Linked DNA regions of Arabidopsis thaliana. The protein of the gene in region 2 interacts with the protein of the main gene of each other region in a pairwise test. Each region holds a gene or a part of one and is shown on either strand. Other genes may lie near its edges. The genes, in order: PRR1 and AT5G47435.

What was found.
Region 1: the proteins of AT5G47435 (region 2) and PRR1 interact in a two-hybrid assay, tested with the Arabidopsis thaliana proteins (one large-scale study listed by BioGRID).

The regions. Positions count from the first base shown.
Region 1 is NC_003070.9:11,538,216-11,553,679, forward strand, and holds PRR1 (pinoresinol reductase 1), read right to left. Parts: upstream 9,802-15,464; 5' UTR 9,739-9,801; coding exon 9,391-9,738; intron 9,102-9,390; coding exon 8,861-9,101; intron 8,751-8,860; coding exon 8,547-8,750; intron 8,418-8,546; coding exon 8,257-8,417; 3' UTR 7,945-8,256; downstream 1-7,944. Other genes in the region: LrgB (uncharacterized protein), read right to left, coding at 63-172, 273-388, 477-738, 878-1,193, 1,266-1,541; AT1G32090 (early-responsive to dehydration stress protein (ERD4)), read right to left, coding at 2,029-2,394, 2,481-2,714, 2,804-3,128, 3,223-3,468, 3,548-3,888, 3,963-4,043, 4,124-4,243, 4,327-4,428 and 3 more; AT1G32120 (serine/threonine-protein phosphatase 7 long form-like protein), read left to right, coding at 14,711-15,464. UniProt on the Arabidopsis thaliana protein: Reductase involved in lignan biosynthesis. Involved in secondary cell wall biosynthesis in fiber cells. Unlike conventional pinoresinol reductases that can reduce both pinoresinol and lariciresinol, PRR1 shows a strict substrate preference toward pinoresinol.
Region 2 is NC_003076.8:19,232,590-19,248,575, forward strand, and holds AT5G47435 (formyltetrahydrofolate deformylase), read left to right. Parts: upstream 1-9,082; 5' UTR 9,083-9,189; coding exon 9,190-9,443; intron 9,444-9,582; coding exon 9,583-9,733; intron 9,734-9,810; coding exon 9,811-9,884; intron 9,885-9,974; coding exon 9,975-10,134; intron 10,135-10,300; coding exon 10,301-10,399; intron 10,400-10,494; coding exon 10,495-10,581; intron 10,582-10,688; coding exon 10,689-10,835; 3' UTR 10,836-10,894; exon of another isoform or gene 10,895-10,974; 3' UTR 10,975-10,980; coding exon of another isoform or gene 10,981-11,222; 3' UTR 11,223-11,302; coding exon of another isoform or gene 11,303-11,360; 3' UTR 11,361-11,399; downstream 11,400-15,986. Other genes in the region: AT5G47420 (Tryptophan RNA-binding attenuator protein-like protein), read left to right, coding at 424-471, 694-753, 849-888, 974-1,152, 1,259-1,297, 1,401-1,490, 1,600-1,660, 1,748-1,872 and 2 more; AT5G47430 (DWNN domain, a CCHC-type zinc finger), read right to left, coding at 3,230-3,913, 4,375-4,465, 4,559-4,678, 4,759-5,077, 5,185-5,223, 5,411-5,713, 5,794-5,958, 6,054-6,205 and 7 more; AT5G47440 (auxin canalization protein (DUF828)), read right to left, coding at 10,981-11,222, 11,303-11,360, 11,450-11,499, 11,577-11,756, 11,847-12,240, 12,319-12,615; TIP2;3 (tonoplast intrinsic protein 2;3), read right to left, coding at 15,920-15,986. UniProt on the Arabidopsis thaliana protein: Deformylase involved in photorespiration. Prevents excessive accumulation of 5-formyl tetrahydrofolate (THF), a potent inhibitor of the Gly decarboxylase/Ser hydroxymethyltransferase complex.

The DNA.
Region 1 (15,464 bases), on a different chromosome or scaffold from region 2:
AACCAAAGCGATTGTTACCAGTTTTCTAAAGCAAAACAGAACAAGTTTGTTGTTTGTTTTACCTTTCTTTGTTTGAACATGGAGAAAGCGAAAGAGAGAATGACAGAGCCAAGAAAACCCATTAAGATGTCACCAGCACCAGGATCTGATGCTACTTTGGTAAGGTAGTTTCCTGTCACCATTAAAGAGCAGTTAACAAAATGCTTTTACTTTCTGTTTTAGGTCAAAAAAGGGTTTCTCTATAGTTTCTTTCATAGTGAAGGTAACTTTACCTAAAACAGGATCAAGTCCAGATCCTGAAGCATACCCAAAAGCTAGAGCAGCAAGTACTGCAGATAGCGCGCAGCAGATTATCGGATGGAAAACTTTCTTAATAGAAGATGGCAACCTGGAAGAAAGAAAGATAAGACACTGAGAATAACCGCGAGATAGAGAGGCTTAAAGATGGAGAACAAAGAAGGGTTTTTGAATATTACCCAGAACCTACAATGTAACCTAGCACAGTTGAAGAAAGAAGGAAAGGGAGAGAAGTTCTTGCACTTGTCCCCAATGAATTAGGGTAAAACAGAGCACCAACAAACGACACAACAAAGATTCCACTCCAACTCCATAGCTCAAGTGTTGAAAATGGTGATGGTTTTGCCATAGGCTCGGCTTCCGTCATTTCGGTTTTCACCATTTTTCTCACTGCAATAGCTGTGTACCCTGCTACACAAAGTGACGCCAACCATCCACCGGCTATACAAACAAACATTCAAATCAACATTGACATCAGATCAGCATTAAATAATAAACAAAACAGAGCAATTAGACAAAAAACCCATAAAAGCTACCAGAGAACACAAGATCATTAACCAAGTGAAGATCAAGTTCATACCTACAATGTAGCAGATTTTGACACCTGAAGCAGCCGGAATATCTCTAACAGAAAGAGGAAGAACAACAAGAGAAGGAACATAGAACAAAGGAAGCCATCTTTGGATAAACAGAAACGCAGGCTCGAAGAAATTCATCAAACCATTTGCAGCAGCAGGAACAACCGAATCAAATATCATAAGAACAGAGAAAATACAGAACATCCCAAACAAAGCACTTGGGAACTTAATAGACGCTGCTACAAACGCCTGCTTCAAGAAATAGTCTGCAGCAAGAATGATCCCAAGTGATACCAACAAGTGACTTATCGCAATTACCTGAACGAAAAATTCAAAACTTTAAAAAGCTGTTACAATAAAATGGTAAATAAACAACATCGTGAAGCTTACGTTACGAGAGATCGTTGATGTGTTTCCTGTTCCTGCACCATCCATAGCTTGGACTGAGAGTTTTCTCTCAAAGTTCATCTCTTTAGAAGAACCCATTTGTAGAAATCTTTGGCCATCGGGTTTACGGAATTTTGAGAGATTCAACTTCTGGGCACCATCAGAATTGAGAATTTTCCCATTTTTGGAACCGAAACGGATCTTAGAGCAAGAAAGACGGTTCCTTGCTGGAGAAGAAGCTAAAGGAGAGAAGATAGGAGTGGCTAAAAGAGTAGCCATGGGTATGGAGACGACGACGTGGATGTGATTCTAAGAGACGGCACATCATAGTCTTCTCCATCTTCGTTAATGATGTTTGTGATTGAAATTGGATTACGATATTTGTATGGACAAGAGAGAAAGTTCTATCGACAAGAGGATCCAGTTTTGTCTTTTTCCGGGTTAGGTTTTTCCGTTAAGAAAGGTCTTTTGTCTACTTTAATTTAATATTAATATAGTTTTTGATACATCTTTTTTATTAGAGTATTTTCTAACGTAACTTTTATCATATCCAATAAACCAAATTTTACAATTACAATAGGCTTGAAAGATGACAATAAATTAAATCTTCGAATATATTTTCATACAAGTGAATGACACTAACACCAATTTCCTAACCTTTAAAACCGAAACCAAAGTCAGCTAACAAATAACCTAAACCTAGACCAAAAGAAACCTTTAGTTATGACACTCATAAGAGATTACATATTTTTCTTCTGTCTAGAGATCAATTGTAACGGTACTCATGCTCCTCGTACTGATGAGTATTGTAGTGATATTCATACTGAGACGATGACTGCTCATAAGCTGAAGCGTAGTGAGAAGAAGGGGAAGTGGAATTGTAGACATGATGGTGATGGGAAGAAGTACCGAGCTCTGTCACAGGACTAGACGACTGTGTTTCATGTTTGTCCACTCTTACCTCTGGTGTCTCTTCTTGGTGAGTCTCTTTTTCTGATGATGATGATGATGATAATTCTACTTCTTTCTCGAATGAATGGAAAATTGGGTGCAAGTAAGCATCTGCAAGATCTGCTTTCATGTTCAACTCCGGTTCTGTTTCCTTCTCTAACTTGTCTTTCGCCATTGCTTCCTGTTAAGACCAAAAACACGGGTCTTTGTAAGAAGGCTTTAAACCTTTTTTTTTTAGGAAGAGAGCCCAAAAGATTCTTTATTTACCTCAAGAGGGTATTGTCGAAAGGCAGGTTCGAAGCGGTGTTTGCAATACTTGTGGAAAGAAAGTGTGAGAATGGGTAAGATGATAAGCAATGGAGTTGAGTCAGCTGCCTTTTTAGAAGCCAAAAGTCCCATTAGCAGAAGCTGAGATATCAACAAGCTTGCGATTATCCGGCCATGAACGTGCGGCCAAAACGCTCCACAACTCTCGTATTGTTGGTTGTAAACATTGATTATCTGCATTGTAAACCAAGAAAGCACCATCAAGAAAACCCAAAATTTAGCGGAGAATTAGATACGACGGGTGATTGGGTATGAAACCGAACCTGATGGCGATAGACCAAGTAAGCAAAGGCAAAGAATATGAGAATGAAAGGAAGAAGAATGGGAGTAACAGCAGTGTAGACAATTCCCAAGAGGAAGTAGAGCTGGAGAGATGGGATAGTCTCCTTGAAATCGACAAAACCAGGGTCCATTGCTCTCACTCTATCTTCTTCAGTCTTCACAATAAACATGTTCTTCAAGTGGAAAATCACGAGGGGCTTTAACCGGAGAATCTCACCTGCAATCCCAGCCCATCCGTCAACCATTATGTATGTGATAAAGAATGTAGCTTTCATCGGTATGGAGACCCCAATGGTTCGAGGAATCCTGCATAAACACAATAAACAAGAGCATTTAAGATATGAGTTTTAATTCAAAGTTAGAATCTTTAGACGGTTAATAGAAGTAAAAGGTGGTTTACTGAGATGGTGATTGGTGAAGGAAAGAGTGCAGCTGCTCAAACGCGGTTCCAGCAATGATACTTCCCAAGAACACATTAACTAACATGAAGTAATAGTACTTTGCTGCTGCTCTACGCTCAAGGGTTGATAAAGCGATGTATCCCTCAATCTTCGACATAATTAGCAGAACCGTAGGGAGAATCCACAAGAAAATTTTCAGCGCAAGACCGGGGAGGAAACCCTGTAAGAATGACTTGATGAAATCCCTGCAATAAATACCAAGGAGAGGGATCAATGGTCTAACATACCAAGAAGCAAAAAACCGAGATAGATGGAGAGACTTACAATCTAGTAACAGGTCTGAGGAAAGGTGCAACTCTGTCAAGACCTTCTAAATTGGCAAGAGATTGCACGAAGGCGATAGGAATCATGTAGAAAAAGACCAAGGCAAAGACTGAGACACCAATTACGAGTTTCCGGATGGTTAAAGAGATAAAAGGTATAGCAAGGTTTTGCCAATAGATATCACGAGGCTCTGGAGCACTACTCGTTAACCATAATGTCGGATTCTTGCTCTGCTGCGTCTGTGCACAAACAGCAGCACCCCATCGTGAATCAAACGACACAAATGCAACAGGAAGCATTAGCTTGGAGTCCTTGAGAACTTTTTGACGCTCCAAAGACATCTGTATCACCAAAGATGAAACGAGGTTTAAGTTTCTGTTTCAGCAGTAACTTAAAAAGCAAATGAATGGCTTACATTGTGGTCAAACTCCTTGATTTGTTGCTTGTAGTACTCAATGGAATCAACCCTCTTACCCCATAGACCAAGAAAACCTGTCTGAAAAAAGAAAATCCGCCCATCACAATCAACATCGTTTCATTTCAAAAAGCTAAACAAATGGCGTGGGAGAGACTAACTCTGCAAGTAGGCTGCTTATGCGGATTACGTTGATGCTTCAGCACATAATAGTCAAACCAACGTTGCAACTTCGCTCTTTGCTTCACCAGCTTTGCGTAAGTGTTCGCATTATAAACAGCCTGAAACAAGAATGTTGAATTCATCAATCACACACTAACGCATTCTACAACTAAAGTAAGTGATGAAGGACAAACAAAATTACTTGATGACAGAGGTAATGCTCAGGGTGATTCGTCTTAAAGAACTGATCAACGGTATCGGGAACCGAGTGACCAGGCATGTCAGGGACGTTTCTAACAACAACCTGCAAAAACAAACAGTAGTATATATAAACATAGATGCAACAATTATCCATGTTTGAAGTTTGCGGCTTTTTCACTCACAGTGAACTGTTCTGGACGCCTACGCTGTGAAGCTAAATACTGCAGACGCATAATAGCGACATTATTGTATTCTCTGTAGAGCATGAAACATGCCCAGAACGTGAAAATGTACTCTACTGCAATATGAAAGAAGAACCTAAACACACACACACACATACACAGAAATGTTAAACTTTAGCCAGTAAAACTCATTGATTAGTAAAGCATAATTTTAGTTCACAAGTAAGCTCACTTTGAAGATTTGGGCTGAACATTGGATATAGAGAGCTTATCGATATTGCTGACCACAAGTTCCTTCTTCAAGAAGAAAAGTGTTCCACTTGATACATTTACTGGAACAAGAACAACAAGCGCTAATACCATCACTGGTGCAAAGATCTTCAAGCTGCCAACAAACCAACAAATTATTCAGATTCTCACATAAATTTTTACAGTAACTTTCCCGGGGAAAAAAGAAAGATATCTAAAGAGTGACTTTTTCTCAGGAAACAAACACGAAACAGTGAACAGAAACGAAACTTCTATTGCTTTTGTCTTTGTGGAATACAGAGCAGACAAATCTGAAACTTAGCTGTACATTCTTTATATTGTTAAAATAAAGTACAATCATTCTCACGAGTAAAGATTCTTAAAACCGTGAAATTCGGGAATTTGTCACTCGTAAAAATTCGTTCTTGGAGATTACAATCAATCCCACAAAAAACCCACAAGAACAAGAACCAAAAAAACATAAATTTTCTCGAAAGTAACAATTTTTCTCTCGAGAACCATTAATCAAATCTTAGTGAAATAATTATGTAGGACAATAAAAATAAAGAGCAACTGTAATAATCAACATTTTTCTATCAATATTGAAAAAGTTTCGATTTTTTTGTTCTTTCATTTTCTCGAGATATTGACTTCTCAACAGATTTTACTAGCAAACAACTCAAACTCTCAAAAAGTTTCGTTTTTTATGTAAGACAAAACCAAATTCCGAGAAGAAGAAGATAAAATACTTACCCGAGAGTGTAAATCCTAAGGAAGATAGCAGAATCAAGACCAGCATGACGAATAATCTCTGATTCACTCATTTTCATAGCTTGAGGCATCCAATTAAGGAACGTGAAGTAAGTCTTGTAGTTGAGGTTTACGAATTTTCCGACGAGAGTTCTGTCGGAGCGCCGAGGACTGTTTCTTTCTCCGGTGAGATACCATTTGGGGAAGTAAACTCTGTCGTTGATGGGTTGGATTCTTAAGACAGCGAATGCTATAAGAAATAAGAAAGCACCGAAGAGGTTGATGAGAGCTGAGACTCCTATGTCTTGTAGAGTCGCCATTGTTGATAAACTCGAGAGAGAAAGAGAAGAGAGATGGGTTTTGATGGAGAGTGGCGTAAAGGAGAAAGAAAGAGAATGAAGAAAGTATCCAAACTCTAGGAGTTTCTAATATTTTTATTTTTGAGGTTTTTTTCCAATTGTTATATAAAAATATTATCCATTTCTATAAACAAATGATTTTTTCTTCACCTTACCAAAAAAATTAAAAAATCTTTCTACAGATTTTATGGTAAATTATTTTGATCTAATACTAAGATAGATGACATCCGAAAAGATAAAAAAAATTCATAATAGTTAAACATAAGTTACATAATAATGTTTGAAAATTATTTAAACTAAAACCCACAAATCATTGCATGTTTATCAATTGTAATGTATAATTATAACTAATTGACATAAGGTAATACCATATTATATATATAAAAAAATTATGGACAATATATTATATTGTATACAGCTAATTTTCATTTCCTCTTACTTATATTTTGGAAATATCTTTAAGACCCCTTGATATTTGTATTGTACTATTTCATATGTTTTTTTTTGGGTTGGAATTAGGTTTAGAGCCAAGAGATAAGAGAAACCCTCAACATTTGGTGTCAAAGTATCATGTTGTGTGGGCCGGATTTAAATTTGGTTAGATATCAAAATCTTTTTCTTTTGGGAAATAAATTTTGAATAATTCATTTGATGTTTTTTTGTTACGATTATATTCCTAAAGAGAGTATGAGAATTGAGAAATGCTCATTGCTTATTGTAGTGACCAACTATCAAAGTAGTAGCACGCGTGAAATCATCGAGTGATGGAGTAAATTTCGTTTTCTTTTGACTTCTTTTGGTATACTAGAAATTAAATAAGGTTTGATATATGGAGAAGCATCTTGTATTTGCCTTTTATGAGTTTCTGTATTAACTTTTCAAATAAAGGCAAAGTTTTCGGTTACCTAATCTAAATAATGGATAAATTATAACCAAATGACAAATCATGATAAAATTATATTCTTCGTATTAGGAGATGTACTTATAGTTTTTAGGTAGGACATGCATTTATTTTGGTCGAGGAAATCAAAAAGCTTTGCGGGAATAAAATATGGACTCGTTTTAGCTTTATTTAAAATATAGAAGAAAATTTTGACGAACAAGTTTTTGTCAACAAACGTTATACAATTCTATACGTTTGATCAGTCATACAATTTTTAGTCATTTCAGGAATAAAAATATTATGTACAGAGTCTATGATCTTGATAAATTTTAATATCGCTTTTGCTTAAGGTTTTGGGATTAGTAACATGTCTTGATGCGCTCATCCACGTTTATCTACTCGTTGGCAATAAACATTATGCTAACATTGCTTGTGTTGCCTTCTTATGACTTAAAAAAGTATTGTTTACATTCTATCCACAACAAAAATATTTGACTTTTACGTTTTAATTAACCACCGATTAGTTTGTACGAAATCGCGACTAAAAAAAAATATGTGACGTAGTAGTGGATAGTAAAATTATCTGTTTTCATTCGAACTCAAATTCGGGTTGATGATTTTTATAATTATATATGCAAGGATCATTATCAAACCATTTGATTTCATAATGTTTATGTGTCAATGATGGTAAATTGGAATTATTCGAGTTTGTAATAAACAATTGTAATATACTAACATCCGTCCTCGTGATTCATTGATGACACTCCAAAAGTCCCATATGCACATTATGCAATTATCAGCCTTTGTTTATCTTGTCTTATGCGCTGTCTTTTATTCCATCAAATTTTGTATAGTCTCGTGTGCGTTGTTGTCCACAAAAGAGAGCAATAGTTTATTATTACTTATCTTTTGGCGGCGATTACAATAATTTAGTACACAAGCTCAACTAATTGTTTGGTTTCAATTTATGCATATTCACATACACTTAGAAAGTTCCAATTCCAACTTGCAACCACATAGTTTAGCACTGGTATATAAATTAAAGACTGGGCTTACAAGTGGGTTTTATGGTTTTTTTGCTTTAAGAAACAAAAACTTGTGATCTTTCATATTTCTACTTTCCTACTGATTTTTTTTCTCATTTGTTAGTAGTCTTCTTTCATATCGATGCAATTCCATGGATATTTTGTTGTTGTTGTTGTTGTGTGTGTTTTTTGTTCTGATCTTAGTTACGAACCGAGATACAAGATTTCATCAAACCTCTCGAGCTTTGGACCTCCGTATTCTTCCATACTAGAAGTTACGAGGTAGGGTTCAATCAGTAGAGTTACCAACGCCTTACTCCTTGTGTTGTTGTTGTTCTTTTTATTGGTTGTTAAAAACCAAAGATAATATTTTTTCTTGCATGAAGAATATATTTTTAAATTTGCATATATAGCAGAACATGAATGAATATAAAACATCAAACTTTTGATATGTGTATTTAGTATAGATAAGACTTGGTCAAATCAGAGGAACATTCTTAAGTAATCATCCATGCGTTTGTACTTGACGTCAGGATAAAGACTAGAAGCTTCTTCGTCTTCTCCGACTTCGTGATCAGTGAGACATCCTTCATAGAAAATGTGATAGAAATGTCCTATCCCTGCTTGGTGTGGAATCTCCATTTCTACATACATGTAAAAGAAATCAAATAAAGTTGATGGGCTATATTTTTCAAATAGACCTAAAGCCTGGCCCATTAAGGATATGTTGCCGAACATAAAGTAGATTACGTTACACTATTGCTTGGACTTACGTTCAATGTTGGCGAGGAAGTCTTGTGCAGCAATATTTGTTTTCTCCAATTCTTTTCCGGTTAGCTTTTCCCAGATCTGAACTAATTCCAACTGCGTGAGAACGTTGTCGGGAGGTCTAATATTCACGGTTTTGTTTAATGTCCGTGGATCGTTTAACGTTTTCGCGGTGTATTTTGCGATATCATCTTCATCCGCAAACACCACTACAAATATAAAACGGTTTAAATTGATTGGTTTAGATGGGCTTGATCTAATTTAAAGTCTTAAAAGGTATATAACCACAAAGAGTTAAAAAAGAGTTTGAAAATTTTACCTTTTACATTTCCATCACCATAAATATTAACTTTTTCTTTCGGAGGAAGTAAAGTTACCATCTGAGACAAGTTTCCGGCGAAGTAGGCGGCAAAGCAAGCACCCACAACGTAAGTGTAAGGAATTCCGGCAGCCTCTATCGCCTGACGCACTTCCATTTTCTGGTCAAAGGTTTCTCTTCCGGGCGGTAGCGCATGTCCCATACGTGGTGGATCCATACCAAATTCAGATGGTAAAAACCGCTGAAATTATTAATCTTACGTATATCATTATAATTACAACAAGAAACAAAAAGTAATAATAATCAACAAGAGTATCAAGTTTCTTTGTATGCATGCAATATGGATCTTTTACCGTTGACGTTTTTTTTCTTATAAATGAAATGTAAATAGTAAAACAAAAATAAACTCTCCGGCTTTTTTAATTTTATTTTCGTGTGGTTTCTTTACTTATAAGATTTTTTTCAGATTAACCGCACAATTTTCTAAACCGATCAATCATAATTAAACTTTAATTTATAGTTTATTATACCTTTACGTTACCAGCCTCTTTGATAGCTTCGACGAGCTTGAGCTGGACTAGAATGTTATGGCTACGGAAGTGAACACCGGACATGGCGGAGACAACGACGTCAACAAGTTTCACGGCGGATACGAGGCTTTGATGGTCGGAGAAAGAACCTTCAACGATACGTGCGCCGAGTTTCTTGAAAGAAAGAAAGAGTTGGACTTTCTCGATTTCGAGACCAATCTCTGGCCTCTGCAAAACGTAAGTCTCGTGACCTTCAGCCAAACACGCCCTTACTATCCTCTTCCCTATGTATCCAGTCGCTCCAACCACCAAAACGCGCGTTTTCTCGGTGCGTTTGCTCTCTCCCATTTTTTGTTCTCTCTCTCTCTCTATAGATCAATGTTTTGGTTGAAAGAGCCTCTCTTGATTGTGTATATATATAATGAATCGAAACATATACATTTACATATATATGTGTACACCTAACCGATAATTGTATGCATTATAAGTAAAGATATCGACATTTGATATGATGCCTATGAAAGAAAATACGTATTTTCTATTAATACTTTTCTCACCATATCCTTTTTCAATGAATACTTATGACAAAATATACTCTTTGATTATTTTAAAGAATTTATATTAGGTAATCCACGATTAGTAAATAATATCTTAATTCCGAAAATAGTACATAATTGGATTGTAACACAAAAATAGAGATGTCTATATGAAAACAGATTAGTCAGTTCTTGGGTCTTTACCAGTGTGGAACCATAGTCTCTTAATAATTTGACTAACGTGTTCGTTTACTAATGTGTCTCACGACACCTGATGACTCCACTAGACCTTTCTGAAAGCGATTATTGTTCTAACTCGTGGTGACATGTTTTGGTGGGATCTTTCGCTAACACTTTAATTAGAGAATAGAGATTAATTTGGCCGTTTTAGTATACTTTGACAAAAATTAACTATTTCTGACATAACTATTGACTTTAGAAAAAACAATTCGCCAACTCTTCAATTGGAGTTTGAAAACATGTAACATGAGCAGATTTTTATCTCCATATATAATTAATCTATATTCTATACCAGTTAAAAAGCTTACGCATGTATTCATTTACAAACATGACATCATTTGTTTGAAATTCTATGTGTATATAGTCAATTTTTCAATGGTCACAAAGAATCCCCTAATCGGCCACAATTTTTTCTTTCTTTTTCGGCCATCATATTCACATAAAATTTGGTACAATATGTGTAATATAGATTAAAAATCTACAAATAGGTGTATTTTGTAAATCTCTAAATGCTCCGAAGTAAATAATTGTTTAAGTGGTGGCGTTATGACCCACACGCCGCACTCTTCTGAGCTATTCAACCTTATTGTGATGACTTACAAATGTCATCTGAGCTTTTTAGATTCTTTGCAATGGAATAATAATCCTTATTAGTAGACTAGTAGTTCACCTAATCTCGACATTTTTTAAAAAATAAAAATAAATGATCAAACGCCATATGAAAACAGAGCTTCTCTCTTTGTTTGCGTTTACTCCTCTTTTCACATAAATTAAGTAAAGTAACTTTTTATTTTATTTTTTAATTATTTTTTTATTAATTTAATAATATTAATTGTACTTTTCTCCTCTTTCTATTAGTAACAAACAAATATAATAATAATATAGATACAAAGTGGAACAAAAAGAAAACTACAACATCAAATTGTATAAAACATAATGATTTTCTGAAATTAAAAACACAAAAATTATGATATCTTTTGAAGGGTAATAATTTTGTAACATTTAAACATCAACTATCAAACGTTATTAATTTTATCATAAACAACAGGAAAAAAGATTGAAGACAATGAACAAATTAACCCTACGTCATGCAGTTTTCTATAGATTTTGTTTTTGTGTCAACCTCACAAACTAAATTAAAATATGTAAGGATGATTGGTTTCTCAAACTGGATTAGAATACAACATCAACAAACCTGATGCTAGATACCAAAATATTCATTTTAAAATTTATACGAAAGATTTCGAAGTAGACAAAAATTGTCTTAAAAATATTAAAAAGCTGGTCAATCGATAGGGAAATGCATATTCTTGACCAACTCTATAAGGTTCGTCACAAAATCTTGACTGCTCGAGAGAGTGTTCTCCACATAATATGAATGCAGACTACTAAATTACAAATTCCGATTAAATCAACACAAAAATAGATACGAATTTCTGGTGAAAGTTAATGTATAATAATGGCCAATATTATTTTAGAATCAAATGAAAATGTGAATGAGAAACAAAGGATTACGTGCCTTTTTCTCGAAGCGGGGCTGTGGACTAAAGAATTAGAAGATAATTGTGGGAGAAAACAAAAACAATTATGACAAATAGATAAGAGAAATTAATTATGGGGTTGGTGAGAGCACCGTGATTGGTTGTGGAAGATGCCACGTGTGAAGATTTGTGTTCTATCCTTAAAAAAAAAGAAATCATTCTTGTAATAATTAAAAAGTAGTTGAATTTGTGTTCTGTCCTTATAAAATTGGTTACAGTTTCAGTGTTTCGTCCAATATTCAAGGTACCGCTAGAGATTTGTTGGATGTTTGATTCACACCTACACTTGAATGGAGTAATTGGAGAAATTAGGAATGAGACTAAAACCATGGTTGTCTCAAACTATATGTTGGTCCATCTATATAAAGTATATCTATGAGATATAATAATTTTCAAAAAAGTTATAGGTCCATTTTTATGTATGTTATATTTTTTTAAAATCATAGACTCTAATTAATATCTATATATTTTTTTCAAAACCCCTATTTATATACACCATTTGTTTTTAAAACTGAAATCACTTAGGCCAACTCCAATGAAACTCTAAAACACCATTTTAGTGTAATTTTTGCACTAAAAGCTCTCCAATGGAACTCTAAAATTCACACCATTTTAGTGTAATGCTACAGTGTTACATCAAATTTGGTGTGATACTATTCACAACTCTAAACACTATTCACTTATTATATCAATAAAAATTCAATTAACAGATATAAAATTACAAATGATTAATAAATATAAAATATAAAAATGAATGTATACATTAATATATTATATCTTTTGAAATTGTTGATTTAATTATGATATTTTTATATTATTATGTATGAAAATACTTAAAATAGTTAAAAATTTATGTATTTTTAAATATATATTTCAATGTACTATTTTTATAATGTTATGTATTTCTATACTAATAATAAATATTAATCAAAACTATTAAATAATAAAAGAAATCTTTTAAATAAATAATATAATAGTAGATTATTCTTTTAGTGTGATTTTTGGTGTTATGGTTGGAGAGAACATAAGTTTTAGTGCTAAAAATAGTGTAATTTGAACACCAAAATGGTGTTTAGCCTTGGAGATGCCCTTATACATGATAAAAAGTAAAAACGCCCTTGGTTACAAATATCATATTACTCTACTTTGATCTTTAAAACAAAAAATCTTATTATAACATTTTTATATATCTTTGTATATGTTTTGACCTTGAAAATTTCTCTAAGTAATGAAAGATGTTTAATACTATATCCATTAATGCATGTTTCCACCGGATTAGGCAGTTGAATTTGTTGAATAATTTTTTAGTTGATTATTTCAAAATTTGCTATGTCAGTGTATTTGTTGGACGCCTTGAACCATCTTTAGCAAAAGTAATGTATTTGTTTTAAATCAACCGGTTTAAATTCATGCAAAAATAAAATTCTTTCACAAAGGCTAAAAATTTGACCAAGTCAGTGGTAGATAAAATAAAAAATAAGAAAAAAGTTTTTGATCTTCTCGAAAGCATGCACTTTTTGAATTAACAATGTAACTCAAATGTCAAAAGCCAAATCTTATGACTTTTTAACTTATAAAACATTAATAGTTTATGTATTGGAACATTCTGCATGACTGCATCTATGTGCCCCTAGTTTAATGAATCTAATTTAATGAATTACATCACTATACCCAATAATAATGTAAAATTTTTTCTCACATTTCAAAGCACTAGATCCCCAAAACTGACTGGGCCTTTAATGGGCTGTATTATGTGGATCTTTAATAAACTTAATCTTTAGAGAATTTTAATTCTCTTTCTAGTAGCCGTTATCTACCATTTAATTAATTAGTATTAACATTTTTAATTAATGATAAACTTTTTCTTAGTTGGTATTAAAACGTAGATTACAAAGTCTCTTGTTCTAGATTCTGTTTATAGATTTTGATCTTCCATGTTTCAGTTAGTTTATGTTTTGCCCTTCCTTGAATTCGGATTTGTTATGCATTAGAAGTTGTGTTTGTAGGCTTCCCATATTCTTGGACTTTAGACTCTTAGTTATTATGTTGTTTGTCGGCTTAGTTTCTGCAATTGTTTCGTTAACTGCCAATTTTGTAAAACTAAATCTATAATTTATTTTTAAGTGAAAAGAAAAACGTAGATTACATGGAAACTCCTTCCGAGGTTTGTTTCATATTTTGGATTCAGAATTTCTTGAAAACGAGAATAAACACTTCATAAATGAGATTACTAAAATTAATAATCTAAAAACACAAATACCATTTACGAGTATTTCAACCGAGATACCTGAATGTGGTATGAATTCTTTCTCTTGCGTTTAAATCGATTGGAATGAAATAAGAAATCTATTTCTTCGTCTTTTTTTAGTAAATCCGAGTTTTCATGAAAACAAAATCTTGACTATTTTTTTTTATTAAGAAGCTTAAATAATATATAAGGTATTTTGTAATTTTTAAAATCCTAATTTCTGAACAAAAAGAAAAATCTAATTAGTTTGAAGAATATAAATCACGTGTTTTTTTCCTAATAACTTTTAGAATTCCTCTCTCTTCTCACTTTGTTAATTCTACATAAAAATTGGTTATGCTGCTTATACTATCTGGAAAATACTTTTTATGTAAAGCTCATAGCTGTAACAAAAATAATTTCTAGAATGAGATTTCTGTATTTACCAAAAAAAGTTCCAAAAAACAGGAACAGGATAAAATTTTCCAATTGAAGTATACTTCTGACGTAAAAGCAAAGCTCCACCACCGTTAGATTATTATCATATCTCTAAATAGATTTTAAATTTTGTTTCTTTTTAAAAAACATTTTTTGTTTCCTTCTTCTTCCCCGTTAAGCGGGAAAATTCTGTCGGGATCTCCGGCAACAAACGCGCCGGAGTCAAGATTTTGTCTCTCAACTGCTTCTCCTTTCTTTCCCCATTGTAAATTTCTAAACTTTAGCCAGAAATTGACCCAAAACCCTAAAATTTGTGTTTTTGGTTCTCCGACCTAATAATGGAGGAGTCTCGAGGATCTTCTGATCAAGAAGATGAACAAATTGTTCAAGTCAGGGAAGCTTTAATGTGTCCCGACGGTGAAAAGTTTGAATCTTTACGAACGGCGAGGTTCTTAAACTACACAACGGCATCTATCGACGACGATGTCTTTGACCTTCCTCTCGATGCGTTTGTGTGTAGACCACCGGAAGGGTTTGATCCAACGGCGAAGATCTCGTTTCCAGGGTGGGGAACTCCGTCGTTGAACTGGATTGAGTGGGTTAATGTAATGGCTAAGTCACACGCCACGGTGTGGAAGAAATCTGGTGTTTACGATGCGATTTTGGCGTCTAGGTATCAGATTAAGAGGCATGATGATTTGATTGTGGCGTTGGTGGAGAAATGGTGTATTGAGACGAATACATTTGTGTTTCCTTGGGGTGAAGCGACGTTGACGTTGGAGGATATGATTGTTCTTGGAGGATTGTCTGTTACTGGGAACAATGCTTTGGCTCCGGTTAAACGAGATGGTATGAAGGAGGTGGAGGAGAAGATGAAGGAGGCGAAACGTTATATTGAGGTGAGTTTGGAGAAGAAATGTTGTGTTAGTATGTGGATGAAAGAGATGATGAATTCAGGGAATGAGATTGAGCATGAGGCGTTTATGGTTTCGTGGCTTTCGCGTTTCGTCTTCACTAATTCGGGTGACGTGTTGAGAGAGAAGCTGTTTCCGGCTGCGGTTCAGCTTGCTAAGGGTGTTAGGTTGGCTCTTG
Region 2 (15,986 bases):
GGTGTCCAAAATGTGTTAAAAGTTGAAGAAGTAAAAGGAAATAGACACTCTAACTCGCGTAGAGCGTTTGATAGGAATTGGAAAGCTTATTTACGAAACAGGGACTGAGTTTTTTGGTAATTTACATGTTCGCATTACAAATTGAAGCGTGTCTTTACTTGTTACAACCAATGAGAATGGTCCACGTAATCAGTCTCCACGTGTCATCTGCCAATAAGATCCACCCATCAGCAAAATTCATCGGTCGTTCGTCGCTGACTATCACAATTCCGAACACCAAATTTCGAATTTCTGCCACTTGCTTTGTGATCTGATCGTTCGAAATTGACCGGAGAATTCTTCTGTGTTCTTAGATCTGTCGCGAATTTGTTAAAGCTCCTCAGAAGGTTTTGGTTACAGATCTTCTCTGTGGTCTTCACCACTATGGCCGCTCCGTTTTTTTCAACTCCATTTCAGCCTTATGTCTACCAGGTGTGCTTCTTCTCTCTTTGATCATTTCGCTTTCAAAATGATGAGGTCGTGTTCTTCTTAGTTGCAATTTGACTAAATTTGAGGTTCATTGTAAGTAGGATTTAGAGAAATTCCATCTTTGATTAGTTTAACTTAGCTGGGAGAACGCATAATCGGGCCAATTAGGGATTTTAGATCATGACATTGTTCTAGTGTTGTCTAATAAGTGGCCATTTGATGCAGAGTCAACAAGATACTATTACACCGTTCCAGATTTTGGGTGGTGAATCCCAAGTTGTTCAGGTACATTTGCTTTCTTAATATAGCGTGATCTTCGTATTTGTGGGTTATATGCCATATAATTTTAACTTCTCTAACCATTGCTCGTATGTTGGCAGATAATGTTAAAGTCAGAGGAGAAAGTCATTGCTAAGCCTGGTACTTCCACTGAATAACTCGCTTCTCTACTCAGTTTTGTATAATGGTTTCAAGTTTCAACTAATTTTGTGTTATGGTGATGTAGCTTCCATGTGCTACATGTCTGGCTCCATCGAGATGGAAAATACATACACTCCTGAACAAGAAGTTGGAGTTCTGCAGTGGATTTTGGGCAAGAGTGTAAGCAGTGTTGTTCTTCGGAATACTGGGCAAAACGACGGGTTTGTTGGTATTGCTGCACCTTATTTGGCTAGGATTCTCCCGGTTAGTGATTTTAGCTTGTCCATGTTGGCATAATCATCTTCCATTTCACCCTTAATGTATACCGCCTGATTCCTTGTTGTTTTTGTGATCTTTGTTTTCCATGTAGATTGATTTGGCAATGTTTGGAGGTGAGATCTTATGCCAGGTAGAGTCTTTTTTCCTAGATTTTGAACACTTAGCTATCAGCTTCTTCTTCACTCAGATCAAGCTCTTACAGAGTCGCCTGACCTTTTCTTCACTTTCTGTAGCCAGATGCATTCCTTTGTTCTGTCCATGATGTGAAGGTTGTCAACTCCGTTGACCAGAGAGCAAGAAACATTGTTGCCGCTGGTGCAGAGGTAAGAACTAAGAAGGAAAATACGTTGATTTGGTTTCTGATGCAATTATTATTCTTAACAAAATTCTGCAACCCGTTGTCTGGCTTCTACTCACAAATTGCTGTTGCAGGGATTTCTGAGACAACGCCTATCTGGACAAGGTCTTGCTTTCATCCTCGCAGGTGGCTCTGGTGAGATTTTATCCCAATGAAATGCTGTTTCCGTTGAGGCCTCATCCCCTTCAATAAAACTGACATTTAACATCCCAAACATGTTAGTTGTACAAAAAGTTCTGGAGGTAGGAGAAGTTTTCTCCATTGACGTTTCCTGTATTGCTGCTCTCACACCCTCTATCGATGTCCGAATCAAAAACAATGCTCCTTTTAGACGAGCACTATTCGGGGTACATTTTCACATATACTTTGTTTCAATGAGAAGAAGATTCAGGTTTTTGTTTTGTTTCTCAACTGTTTTAATCTTTCAACATTCAAAAGGGTGATAACGTAGTAATGGCGACTCTAACGGGGCCTGGCATTGTCTTCATTCAAAGCTTACCGTTTCATCGGCTCTCGCAGCGTATTGCAAGGTAAAGCAACCAACAATCCAAATCTCCATTTATGTTGCAAATATGTTTATATAAAGTGTGAATGGTTTTTCTGTGACAGGTCGGTAACGTCGCCAAACATGAGAGAGAATCCAAAATTGCTGATACAGATAGCTATATTTGCGTTCCTAGCATACGCTGTGATTTTGTCATCGTTGATCTTAACCGAAGTTTGAAAGCAGAGAGATAGAAAGAATTATCCGACCAACAAACTAACGTTGTAATTGTTCAAATTATCTCGGGTTTGGACTTTGGATGGATAGAGTGAAGATGAATTAGACACATCTCAAACCATTTTCTTTTCGTTTACTAGTGAGTTTAGGCACTTGTGTTATATTGATATTGCTCCTATATATTGAAAAGTGAAAACGTAGATACCGAGTTGAACAAAAATTGGATTCTTTACTTAAATCACACATCAATTTAAATTAATTAATTTGATTTTTTGTTTTGTTAAATAATTAATGTCTAATGATATTATTGATTAATTTTCATCGGATGGTTAAGAAATTGGATTAATTCAAAAAAAAAAATCTGGATTAATTCGTTACCAATGGATCATATAGTCAAGACTCAAGAGAATGTCTCAATGATATCATGGACTAATTTTCAGAAAATGGATTATAGCAGGAGTTAATAGTTTTCCAAAAACATTGAACTGTCAAAAACAGTAAACATGCTCAAGCAAAAATTCACAATTTTGAAAACAGCGAAATGTCATAGGTGTTAACACACGAATTTCAACAATATACAATACTCCGTTTTTTCCGTTTACTTTTTAAACTATTCGAATTACTCATGGATACGGATCTTACGATACGATGAATACATTTACGTTATAAGAAGTGACTACAACCATTCTTAAACATGTTTACGATTCGCACATAAGATCTCTCAAATCAGTGAAGCTAGACCAACAAGAATAAATTTGATATGAATCGTCGTCAAAACAAACACTAAATTTCTCACTGTAAATTCGCTGGTCTCATAGATTAAGAATAAAGTAGTTACGAAATCGAATTCCACTACAAAAATTAAAAAAGAATTCGATGACAAAAGAACTCTCTCTCTTTGTTCGTTACAGCAAAACAAGAAGATTCTCATTCTCTGTTTTTGATTATACAAAAAAAAAAAAAAACATGTTTGAAAATCCATGTCAAGCTCGAGATCTCTCCCCCTTTCCACGTTTTGAGTATCGGAGTTTATCTTCACTCACATCACTAACCACCACCGGTGGTGATCGCGCGTACCTTGACGGCTTCCTCTTGAAATGCCTATCTTCATCACTAGATTCATAATCTGCTACTTCTATTTCCTTCCGACTACTGTGTCGGTGAACTGATGTTCCCACGGCGGCTGCGGCAGAGGCGGAAGCAGATGGATCCGTAACAGAAGTAGAAGAAGAGGAAGGCACCTTTCTTCGTTTACCAGAAGATGTTTCTTCCTCCGGAAAACTTATCCGAGCGAATACGCTAGACTTAAGATTATTCTCGATCTCTGCTTTAGTAGCAGGGACTGGTGGCTCCGATGAAGGCGGTTCCGATCTCTTGCGGTGGTGATGTTGGCTGCGTTCGGTTTCACCACGGTGGTGGCGATGATCTCGGCTTCTGTCTTCATCGCGACGGTCGCGAGTACGGTCGTGTTCACGATCTACGTCTTGGTGACGTGACCTCTCACGGTCGCGTTGCCGATCTCGTTCATCAGGATAACGCTCGGATTTTCTCTTGGAGTCGCGAGACGGGGAAATGTTTTTACGCGTAGGCGGATGCTCTGGGGATAGTCTCTTCTCCGGTCGTCTCCGGCGATCGTAATCGTGGATTGGTGGTGGAGGTGCTTGTCTCTGTAAAACAATTGTTAGCCCAAATTATTATAATAAAATATGTATTGAATTCGGCCCACAAATAAAAAGGAAATGGGCTCAATAGCCCAGTTACCGTCGTCACCTTTCGGTTCCTACGCCTACTATTTTGCATTTTAGGCTTTTTAGCCATCTACCCTTCTATTTCTTTTCCTTTTTATTCACAGCCCTTAGTTTCTGATAAACCCCAATTTTATATTTCAGAAAATTACGTTAGAAACCAATATATTTTCCCCTAGTTTTCTTCAAGTTTTTTTTTTTTTTTTTTTGGGTTTTCAAAATAAGCAAAATGAGGGAATCAGGGAAGAGAATTTGGAGCCATTTTCTGATATAATAATAACATATAACCAAAAGTAAATGGGAGAGAGCGAAGCACAGGTGAACAAAGAAAAGAAGAAAGAGAGAGCGAGAGGGGAAGATGAGTCAAACAAAAGGAGACATACAGATTTATTAGGGTTGATGGATGATGCAGAGGCTGAAGTACCGTTGTTCATCATCATTCTGCTATTCTCTCCATCCCTAAACATCTTCCCACTGTATATACAACCAAACAACAACCAATGTTTAGGTTTTAGCATATCCTTGTTTGAATCTGTAGTAAAAATAGAGTGAGTGTTTTCTTTTTACCCTTCAGGTCGTCTCTCGTTTTCACGTTTTCTTAACATCTCAGCGTTTCGGGCTTCGGCTTCATCTCTGCCCATCATAGCACGTTGGAGATTCATTCGGTTTCCCATTTCAGCTAGGTCCCTGCGCATGCACAGAAAGTTCCATCATGAGACTTGTTGAGAAAGCTTTATTGCTCTTCTTTGATAGAGTGAGTGTTTTACCTATGGGGTGGTGGTATATTAGGGAACCCAAATCCTTGTGCCATGAATGGATCTGGATGCATCATATTCATACCCCCACCAAATCCCATGTCCATTGGGTTTAATCCGTAACCCATAAATGGAGGCATTGCGCCTGGAAACGGGCCTCCAAATCCATTGAAGCCAGGGTGAAAGCCATTGAAGCCAGGTTGAACACCGTTGAAGCCTGGTTGTACGCCATTGAAGCCAGGTTGCATGCCGTTGAAGTACTGCGGACCTGGTCCCATTTGCATCATATAGTCAGGGCCTGCTAGATCTGGCACAGGATTCCATTGCATGTCTGCAATAAATCACATAAACAAACCATCTTTTAGACCTCCCATTCGATTCACATAGACTTCGAAACTGACAATGTATTGCCTTCAGCGTAGCAAAGAAAGCTTTTACCATTCCCAGGCACTCTTGGTTTCTTTTTCTTCTTTTTTCCTGTATAGAGACAATAAGTACGTATTACATTGATGAATGACAACAAGGGTTCCTCAGTAATTGAAAAAAAAAAGGTTCATGTGAGGTCCAGCTTGATTAATCTCAGTAGGGAAATCTGAACTGGACTATCAGTCACCAATCATTCGCAATGTCCAGTGAAGCTAATATTAGTACATCTTTATTTTACCTGGCTCTCCAGCAGCAACCTGCTGCTGCATTTCTTCCTTGGGGGCTTGCGTATTCAACTTTGACACTGTTGCTTCTTTCACAATCACGGACCCTTGAGTGCTTTCACATGCATCAACTGGCTTTTCTACATTCACTTCTGCAGATGCACGAGGGGCACTTGTGATCTCTGCAACTTCCATTGGCGCCTTTAAAGTTGAAGCATCATTATTGTTACTAAGTACTGGTTTCTTCTCGCCTTTAGATGCAACAGATGTAGTAGGAGATAGAGCCTTGGGAGGTGGACAGCGTGCAGACTCCAAATCTATATTGTCCATGATAATTCAGTAGTGAGGACTAATCAAACAAAGTTTAAAAACACATGAATTTAAAATAATGACGGACCTGGGATATGGCCAACGCTGCCCACATTCTCAGTGCTATCGTTTCCAGCTTCCAAAATACGGTTTATGGTATCCCTGAGGGTCTTGTTTGGTAGAAGGTCGTCAGCAAGTACATCTGATCTTCCACAAACACACATTGACTTTGAAATAATGTGATCTCTGATACCTGAATCAGTGAAAAAGGATAATAATGTAGAACTGGAACTGACAACGGTCAGAAAAGGTTTTTGTGGAACAGCAGAATGCATTAAAAGAACTTACACTTGTCACAGAAGCTCTTGTAACAACATTTGCTTGTAAGCGCAGCATCTTTCATCACTTCTTTGCATAATGGGCATTTTAGCTCAGGTGGAAGTTCTCCTACAGAACGTGTTGTTGATGGCAATCCCTCCATTTCCTTCTCAAAAGCATCCCTGAATTTGTTGAAGACACAACAAACATTTAAACTATAATCAATATATGTGAAGAAGTACCCAATAGCAACATTCCCAAACTAATTCAGTACAACTTACTCATTTGGTTTCAGAACTGCAACTGCGCCACTTGGCAAGGAATAAGAACCATCTGGGGTCGCCATCAACATGGACTTGGGGATACCAGTAGGTGGCTTAACTCTCTTAACATCATAGTTAGGGTCTCCATTTGTGGGGCAATGCTGAATAAAATGTCCTGAGACAGCAAAGAAAATGCTCTCAACACTTCTTATCTATTATATATCCATCTACAAAAGTGAGAGAAAAATAAAGATTTTCAGAGCTGACATACCAGGGATATTGCAACGATGGCACACATAACCTGGAGGTGGCGTTTTCCTTTCCATTCCTATCCAGCCAGCAAAACCAAACTAAGTATCTTACAACTTGAGCAAATAGAACAAAAATATAAAATATTTTGACAGAAGTAAATGTTTTGTATACTGTATTTTGACATTCCAGAATTCAACCAAAATCAAAGAATAAAAGTAAGTATAAGTTACCAAAACCACGTCCATTCATCCTTCCAGGCATACCCCTCCCATAACCTCTACCAGCTCCAAAAGTATCTTGACCTTGTCTGTTACATTGAATAAATATAAGAGGTCTGTTAAACCTTCTCACAAAATCCAACAGTTTCACCTGCACCATTTCTGGAAGATTGCTTACCGTTGTTGCCAGTCAAGTGCTGGAGTGTCAATCAGCGCCTGAATTTTGCTTTCTTCATCTACTTTGTCGTCTGCGGTTGCAAGATGAGGACGTGGAATAATATGCTGGGCATCTTGGGTATCAGGAATGGAATAAAGATCAGTCCCAAACTCGTCATACTCATCTTCAGGCTAAGAGGTGAATACGGATGACATTAGTACTTTTGTAGTAGAAGAAAATTAGGTGCAGTCAATGCCAACAGAAGCCGAGAAAAGTTCACTATAATCAACTTACAAATTCAGCAGCAGATGGATCAGCAACAGGAAAATTGGTGGTTTCAGCCTGAACGTCTTCCACTTTATTCTGGATTCTAGGCCTGCAAAGTTAAGATATTTGCATCATTGAGGATCCCGAAGTTTCTTAAATCCGATAGTCAGACAATTAACTTATGTTTAGCTAAAACGATGCACCAGTAAAATGCAATGCTTTTAATATCATGTCTATTTAAGTTTAATAGCTAAATAAGTAGACAAAGAATATAGAAACTAAAGATCTGAGAAAGTACTCTTGTGTGGTAATAACTGTGATGCGAGGACGTCCAGGAACCCGACGAATAAGGACAGATGTATTCTTTGGGATTAACATTGCTTCATCCAGATACTCTGAAAATTCAAAACAGAGAACATATAAAGGCCACAGATTGCAATCATATTGGCACGAGACACAGTACACTAAAGCTTCCTGAGAAATTCAAGAATCATATTCCAACAAACCATTTCCTAATAGTTCACAAAAGTAAAAAAAAAATAAGACAAAGCTCAGCTAGTAAACAATCATAACATAAAATAAAGTTCATTGTATCACAGCTGCAAGCAAACAGTCTAATAATACGAAAAGCGCAGCACAACATTTGACATAGAAGACAAACCTTCGTTAGTTTGGGCATTGGAGACGACAATATCAAGGTCTTTACCAGTGCCCAAATGCTTAGTTTCGAAAATTTTGTCTTTGAGAATACCGACGGATATAAAAGGACCATCCATGGCAATGGTATCATAATCCCTTGCACTCTTAAACTTGTAATAAATTGCCATTGAAAATTTGTATCTGATATAAAAAGCAAAAAAATACATATATCTATTACTTATCTTATAAAGATCATGACACAAAGCTACTAGATTTTGAAAACCCTAATCAAGGCCTCCGGATTATTAAAAAAAAAAAACGAGGCCAGAGATTTGATTTCCAAAACAAAAAGGTAAATACAAACTAAGAAAACCCTAAAGATTCAATTTTTACTTCGCTGATTCGACTTCACAGAAGGAAACTCCACGCGTGTAGCAAAATCAATCCAAATCAACGAATCCTGGAAAAGTTCCTGCAGATTCAAGGAACGAGAACGTCCGTGTGATCGCCGAGCTGAGAATGGCGCCGGTGATGTCTCCAAATCTCCTTCTCCGAGGAATCTTCGCAGCTACAAAACGACAACTTGTAACAAAGAAACGGATGATCGGGCTTCACTCCATAAGATCCGGTAGCTCCAAGCTCCGATTTGGGGGATCAAAATCGAGAAACCTTTCGGGGGGAAATTGAAAAGGATCTAGAGAGTAATCATAGGAATCGAGTAGAGAGCGGTGTCTTCACGAGAAAGAAGATAGATCGATCTTGAAATCTAGGGTTTGGACACAAGAGCTCTCTTTCTCTCGTATCCGTGTTTATGTAAATCCCGTAAGAGAATTTTCCTTTAAATAATGAATTAAAATCTTATCTTATGGGCCCACTTATAAAGTAAGAATATGGACAGAACCACGGTTTTGTTTTTATTTATTTTCCTTCTTAAAAGTTAAAACACATTAAATTACCTAACTTTTGTTAATTTGAAAACGTAAAAAGTTGATTTTAGTATATTAATAATATTTTATTTGTGTAATAAATAGTTTTGACTTTTAATAAGCTAAAATCATACAGTAAAATCAATTTTTGTGAAAATATGTAAATTTGGTGGTACTTTATGCTATCAATTTTAACAAAACCCATTTCTTATTGGGCCCATTTTGATTTTGATTTGTTTATTAAATGCCCATTTTGATATTTTCACCCGAGTGAAAAATCCAGATTTTTTATTGCTCAATATTTACGGGACGACAAAAAAAAAAAGATTAAAAAAATGGAAGAGTGGAGCGCGATCCTTTGGGGAATCGGGACGGACCGTGATTGGTCGGTCTCTCTCGTTACGGTGAGGCTGAGGCTGAGGCGGAGATTGAGAGAGACCAACCATGATACGACGAATCACCGAGAGAGCTTCTGGTTTCGCTAAGAATATTCCGATTCTCAAATCGTCTCGATTTCACGGCGAGTCCCTCGATTCCTCCGTCTCCCCTGTTCTCATTCCCGGCGTCCATGTCTTCCATTGTCAGGATGCTGTTGGGATTGTAGCTAAACTATCAGATTGCATAGCAGCAAAAGGTGGCAACATTCTTGGCTACGATGTTTTTGTTCCTGAAAACAACAACGTCTTCTACTCTCGCAGGTCTCCATTTTTACTCCAAAATCTTCCCTTTTTTAGTAACTTTCTCGTTCAATAGACTTTAAGAAGTGTACGAAGCTTTGATAATGAATCGAGTGAAATATTATGTATTGGTTTTATTTCTGATGTTTCCTTTTGACAGCGAGTTTATCTTTGATCCGGTTAAATGGCCGAGAAGCCAAGTGGATGAAGATTTTCAAACTATTGCACAAAGATACGGTGCCTTGAATTCAGTTGTGCGTGTGCCTTCTATTGATCCTAAGTATAAGATAGCTCTTCTTCTTTCAAAACAGGTATTCACAATACCTTTTTGGATTTTCGATACTCTTTGTATTTCCTGCTCAAAAGTATGTGCTTCTATTATATACAGGATCATTGTCTTGTCGAAATGTTGCATAAATGGCAGGACGGGAAACTCCCTGTGGATATTACCTGTGTGATAAGGTGAGCTAATAGTTCTTTGGATCTGTATATTATGTAAGCATTTATATGTCTAGTGACTCGGATGCTGAAATGTTTTTTTTTGGTTAATAGCAATCATGAAAGAGCTTCAAACACTCACGTTATGCGGTTTCTTGAGAGGCATGGCATCCCTTATCATTATGTATCTACAACTAAAGAGAATAAAAGAGAAGATGATATTTTGGAATTGGTTAAGGACACTGATTTCCTAGTTCTTGCTAGATATATGCAGGTAGATGAAATCACATTTTTAGTCTTTGCATGAGCTCTTTTTTCTTTCTTTGGTCAAATTCTGACTTACATGTTCAGATGAATATTATTGCGTACTATTTAAGCTTCTTCTTCTATTTCCAACTAAGAATAGCAAAATTTAATTCATAGCATTTTCCCTTTGGCAGATTTTATCGGGTAACTTTTTGAAAGGTTATGGAAAGGATGTAATCAACATCCACCATGGTCTCTTACCATCATTTAAGGGTGGATATCCCGCAAAACAGGTCACTGAGTTTTGTCATGGCTCTACCTTCTCTTAGTTGGTTATATTGTTGTCTGTTTTTTTCTTGCCTCTTAATGTTCTAGATTCTGTTTACAGGCATTCGACGCTGGTGTGAAACTAATTGGAGCCACTAGTCACTTTGTTACCGAGGAACTTGATTCAGGGCCAATTATTGAACAAATGGTGATTCATCTTCCAAGTAGTTGATATGTAATGTAGTACCTTCTGGGGATTGTCAATTTTCTTCTGCAGCTTTCTCAATTTATCTGTTTGAATGGAACTTTTCACAGGTTGAGAGTGTTTCCCACCGAGACAACTTAAGGAGCTTTGTCCAGAAATCCGAGGACCTAGAGAAAAAATGCCTCACGAGAGCTATAAAATCTTACTGCGAACTAAGGGTATTACCTTATGGTACAAACAAGACTGTTGTATTCTAGTTAAGAAAGCAATAACTACGATTCTCATCTGATTCTTTGTTTGAACATCTCAAGAAAAGGTGATACGAATTTCTATAAGATTGTTGATTCATTTGCAGTATTTACAGCAGAAAAAACTGTGAATAGTAAATATTTACAGGATTCTCTATCGCATGCGATTGCTGAGACTCAGAGATTCCAGAGAGCATTTGGCAGCCTCGAGGCAACTTACTAAGCGGAGATTAGACTGAATCCCAGCAACCCATCTCTGCTTCTGAATCTTGCTCTTGCACTTGAACTCTAAAAGACCCTGTCCTGTTTTCAGACCAAAATAGACTTCTTCGGAATTTTCCCTCTCTTTCCTGCAAGGCCATGCAGATATCTCGTCGCAGACTCCATAAACAACACCTTTGAAAGCAACAACAAGCTTCAGACTTCCGTGTTTCAAGTAATTTCCCTAACTCTTGAAAGAATAAAAAAATGCTTACATTTGATCTTCTTGGAGAATGCCCCTCCAACATGTTTGCTTTTGAGTTTGATCATGACCTGAGAAATTCATAGAGGTTAAGTAACTAAGTATAGAGAAGCAAATAGATATGTGTCTCTTACAGATTAAATCCAGTCTACTCAAGTACCTGAGACTTCTTGTTGATATAGACACAAACTCGCTTATTTCGCTGCAATCCTGCTAATAAATTAGAATTATAAGCATCTTAATTAGTGGAACCAGTCTTGAATAGAGTTTGAGAAGAATAGGATTACCATTTCGTGCACATTGCACCAGTTCGCCCTCTAAAGGAAGGTTTGGTTCCTCCAATCTAAACTGACAATTTTCGCCGGGCCAGTGAGAGTCTGAGAAGCTCCTTTCACAAGGTGTGATAGTTGCATTCTTCCTTGATTCCTTCGGCTGCCTCACCTTTAAAGCTGCTTCCCCTCTCAATGCTGGTTCATTTTTTCCACAGACTCAGATCAAATACCATCTTACTAACCCAACCAAAGCCTCAAACACCAACTTTTAAACAATAGCCTTACCAGTTGCAGCCGCAGCTGTGAGAGTCATGAGATCGCCAGGGCTGTGGATATCAACGGAAGACCTGACCGTGGAAGCAACACAGGTGTGATCAGCGCCTGCTTGCTCAGCCATGTCAATGCAGTGTGAAGCCAGTAGCTCTGTTGCTGAGGCTAGAGCCAGTGCCATCATGGAGCATGACTCTTTGCTGCAGCTTTCCTCAGAAGTCACAGATGCTAACCCAGCTGCCAGAGCTGCAATGGACACAGCTGAGTGAACATGGGCTTTCTGTACACGCGCTTTATCTTTCTTCCTCGGAATCCTCATGGTGCTTGGGTTGGTGTGTTGTTTGTGGTGAAACCACTTTGATAATCTCCCTGATCTACGGGTTCCAGCTGAGTTCATGATATTCTCTGCCTGCAAATACCAAGGAATCATCAAAATCAGAATTCAAAAACTGGTGAATATGTCCACACAAGTGGAAGGTAATCATACCATGAGTGGATCTGCAGCAACATCTTGGAAGAAGCCTCTAGGACTGTTCTGGGAAACAGAAAACAGATCTCGCTGTTGTCTCTGTTTCTGCGCCAAAGCTTTGGAGATTTCAGAAGCAGATAGACTCCATGATCTGGATAGAAACTTCATTGGCTCCCTTGGTGTCTGAGGCTGAGGTATCTGAGAGACAATCTCTTCACTTCTTACATTTCCTTCCTCCAACTCGTGCTCCGGATTCTCTGATCCGAATAACGACGAGGAACTATCATTCCAATCGGAATAAAACCCACCTTCCATTTCCTTCTTAGTTTACAGAAAACCCAAGATGACGAAAGAACTTTTTGAGATGAAAGAGGTTAATAATGTTGTTGACTCAAGATTGTGAAAGAGAAGAAGACGAGGACAACAAAGCAGATCACCAATAAGCAAACACTACCTCTTTCTTTAATACTAGCTTGGAATTGTTCAAATATCAAATCAGAAAATGATGCTAAGTAAATAAACGAAGTTTCCATGTTCTGATATTAGTAAAGAGAAAGAAAGGAAGAGACAGAGAGAACACAAATCGATGTAATTGTGCTTTGAGCAGACTCAATAGATTCAGGAAATGTCTCATCAAATGGGTACAAATGTAGATTAGAGAAATCATGGAAGTCTCGTAATATGAATAATTAAGATAAGATGGTAGGATACTGTGGGGACATATGCATTGGTTTGAGAGCCATAAGCTGCTCTTTTGTCTTGTCTTTTTTTGAGTTCGAGAAGATTTGACCTGACAACTTTAACGGAGTTCGTGACTCTACCGACCAGTTTCTGTTATAATTGTAGTCACACGTAACAACAACGCTTTTGGTTTCTCTATAAAGATACTCCCACGAGTTCAAAAGTGTTAAAGACAATTCGAATAACTCTCGGCTATTGGTTTGTTTTTCTTTGTATATTACCATTATTATTCCTTCCATATCTATGGATAATTACGTAATCAATACTCCATATTTGGTTCCACAAAAGCAATACAAAACGGAAATATTTCTACAGATTAGTTTATCGATTCAATATAAACTAACATACGATATAATTTTAGTTTCCGATTTTGCTTCCGTTTTTGTTGATGCCACCGTTCGGGCCAATAGGAGAATGATCCCCTTTCGCCGTAACGGCCATCAACAATGTTGTTGTAATTGCCATAGGTGAGTTTTCTGTAAAATTGCTTCGAGGTGACAATGGTTGTCGTTTGGTCGCCAAGGCAACCGTAGATAGAGAGATTGATGAACAAATGTTGCAAATGAACCATTATTCGTTGAAAATGATGATCGCATACTGTGGCGAAGCAATTCGTTCAACAAGAATGTTTTGCAAATTGATTATGTTTTGGCCAAATTGATTAATAAATTATAGTAAGTAATAGAACTAGAGAGAATCAAAGAATCGAACGAAGAAGAAGAACTTTCTGTTATTCATCTTAAGAAAGTTTGTTACATTGAGACTCTCTTTATGTACTAGAGAGACCCGGTTCATACCGGTTCATACCGGTTTACACTTAACCGAACCATACAATTTCATCAATTATATAGTCTATTATCCTCCCTCAAGATGAGCCGTATATGGAGAGAAGACTCATCTTGCCAATGAGAGAATGCCGTATAGTACTAAAGTAAGCAATCACATCCTGTATCTGACTTTTCGACATGTTTCCCACTAATTCAGCAATTCCATCAGGACCAATGCCTTTTCCCAATGTCATCTTCCCATCAGTCAAAGCAAGATTAGCAACAACCGGTTTTGACTTCTCAGGTGGTGTACTACCTTCTGCTTATGTTTGAAACCAATAGGATAGCCATGGATTTTGTAACAAGTGTCAGCAGTGTGACCAGTGTATCCACAATGTGAACACTGAACTTTTGGTTTTGAATTTGGTTGAAAAGAACGAGTAGCATTGACAGCAATCTGATCATTCGACAAAATGGAGACATTAAAGGCAGAAGCATTCGTTGGATTAGTAACAATGTTGCGCTGACTGTGATCTTGATCCAGAAGATTGTAAATCTCAGCAAGGTCTGGTATTGTCTTTTTCATGATTATCTGACTCCGAATGGTTGAGTAAAAATCATTCAAACCTGCAAGAAACTTAACAATCTTGGAATGCTCATTTACAGAAGCAGTAGCAGAACAACATTTGCAGTTTCGACAAGTGTTAACACAACTAGCTCCATCCAAATCATCCCAAAGAGTCTTCAAAGTAGTATAGTAATCAGATAAACTCATATTGCCTTGTTGTAAACTCCAAATCTGCTGTGTCAACTGATAAGATCTTGGTAAGTTTGTGATATGAAATCGAGTATCCAAGTCTTTCCAAATTTCCGCAGCATCATTGAATCGAAGAATACTCTTGTAAATTTGCTTTGTAACAGAATTCAAGATCCAAGACTTGACCATACTATTGCATCGTGACCAAACTCTAAAGCTCGGATCAAACTCAGGAGGTCTTGGTAAAGTTCCATCAACAAAAGCGATCTTATTCTTAGCATCTAACGCAACAAACATCGCTATTTTCCAAGAAGAAAAGTTAGATCCATCAAGTACCTCAGAAACAATTGTAGTACCCGGATTATCACCATTAGACAATGCATAAGGTGAATAATGAGCATCCGCGAAATCGAACTGTGGAAATGGATAAACTGATGATCTCGTAGCAAAATTTTGTTGAATCGGAGACGAAATTGGTGGAACCGGTGGAATCGGTGAAGATTGAGTACGATCTGGAGTCTTCTCAGCTGAGATCTTGCTTGATTTCCTCGTGCGACGCCGTAACTTTTCAACGGAAACCATCGCGAAATCTGAGCTTGATTTAACTGATTTATGAAGAAACAATCGAAAAACAGAAGATCGACGAGCTCAGATGAACAAGAACTCGAAGATGTGAAGAGAGTTAGGTGTTGAATCGGCTGAGAACTTCGAATTCCAGCGCTCTGATACCATAATAGAACTAGAGAGAATCAAAGAATCGAACGAAGAAGAAGAAGTTTCTGTTATTCATCTTAAGAAAGTTTGTTACATTGAGACTCTCTTTATATACTAGAGAGACCCGGTTCATACCGGTTTATACTTAACCGAACCATACAATTTCATCAATTATATAGTCTATTAGTAACTTCTCATGAATCTCAAATCAATAAAATTTGACTTGCTCATATCATTCGGCAAATTTTCACATCTTTGATGTAAAATTGGTGTGGAAACTGGAATCCATTTGTATTTGGGATTTAGATATTTCAATGGACCATTCACAATCACAAATCACAAGAACAACAAAAATCTAAGAGAAGATAAGTAGTTTGAATCCGATCGTTAAGTACGTTTTAATTATGTCGATAACTTTATGAAAGTAAAATGCCATAGAATACAAAAACATATGAAAGAAACCAAACATGCTATACGTTAAAAAAAAGGAGATGAAGTGAAATGTATATACATTTTCTTATTAACAGGACATAACTTTTTTTCTTTTCTCTACATACAATCTTGCAAGAAAGTGGACACCAAACATACACACGCAAACAAAACATCAACCAACCATCAAGCAATCACAAAACCCAGTCAATTACACTCGGATCTCACGGGTTTCTACCGCTTCATAAGAACCGATGAACACATCACCGTAGATAAGT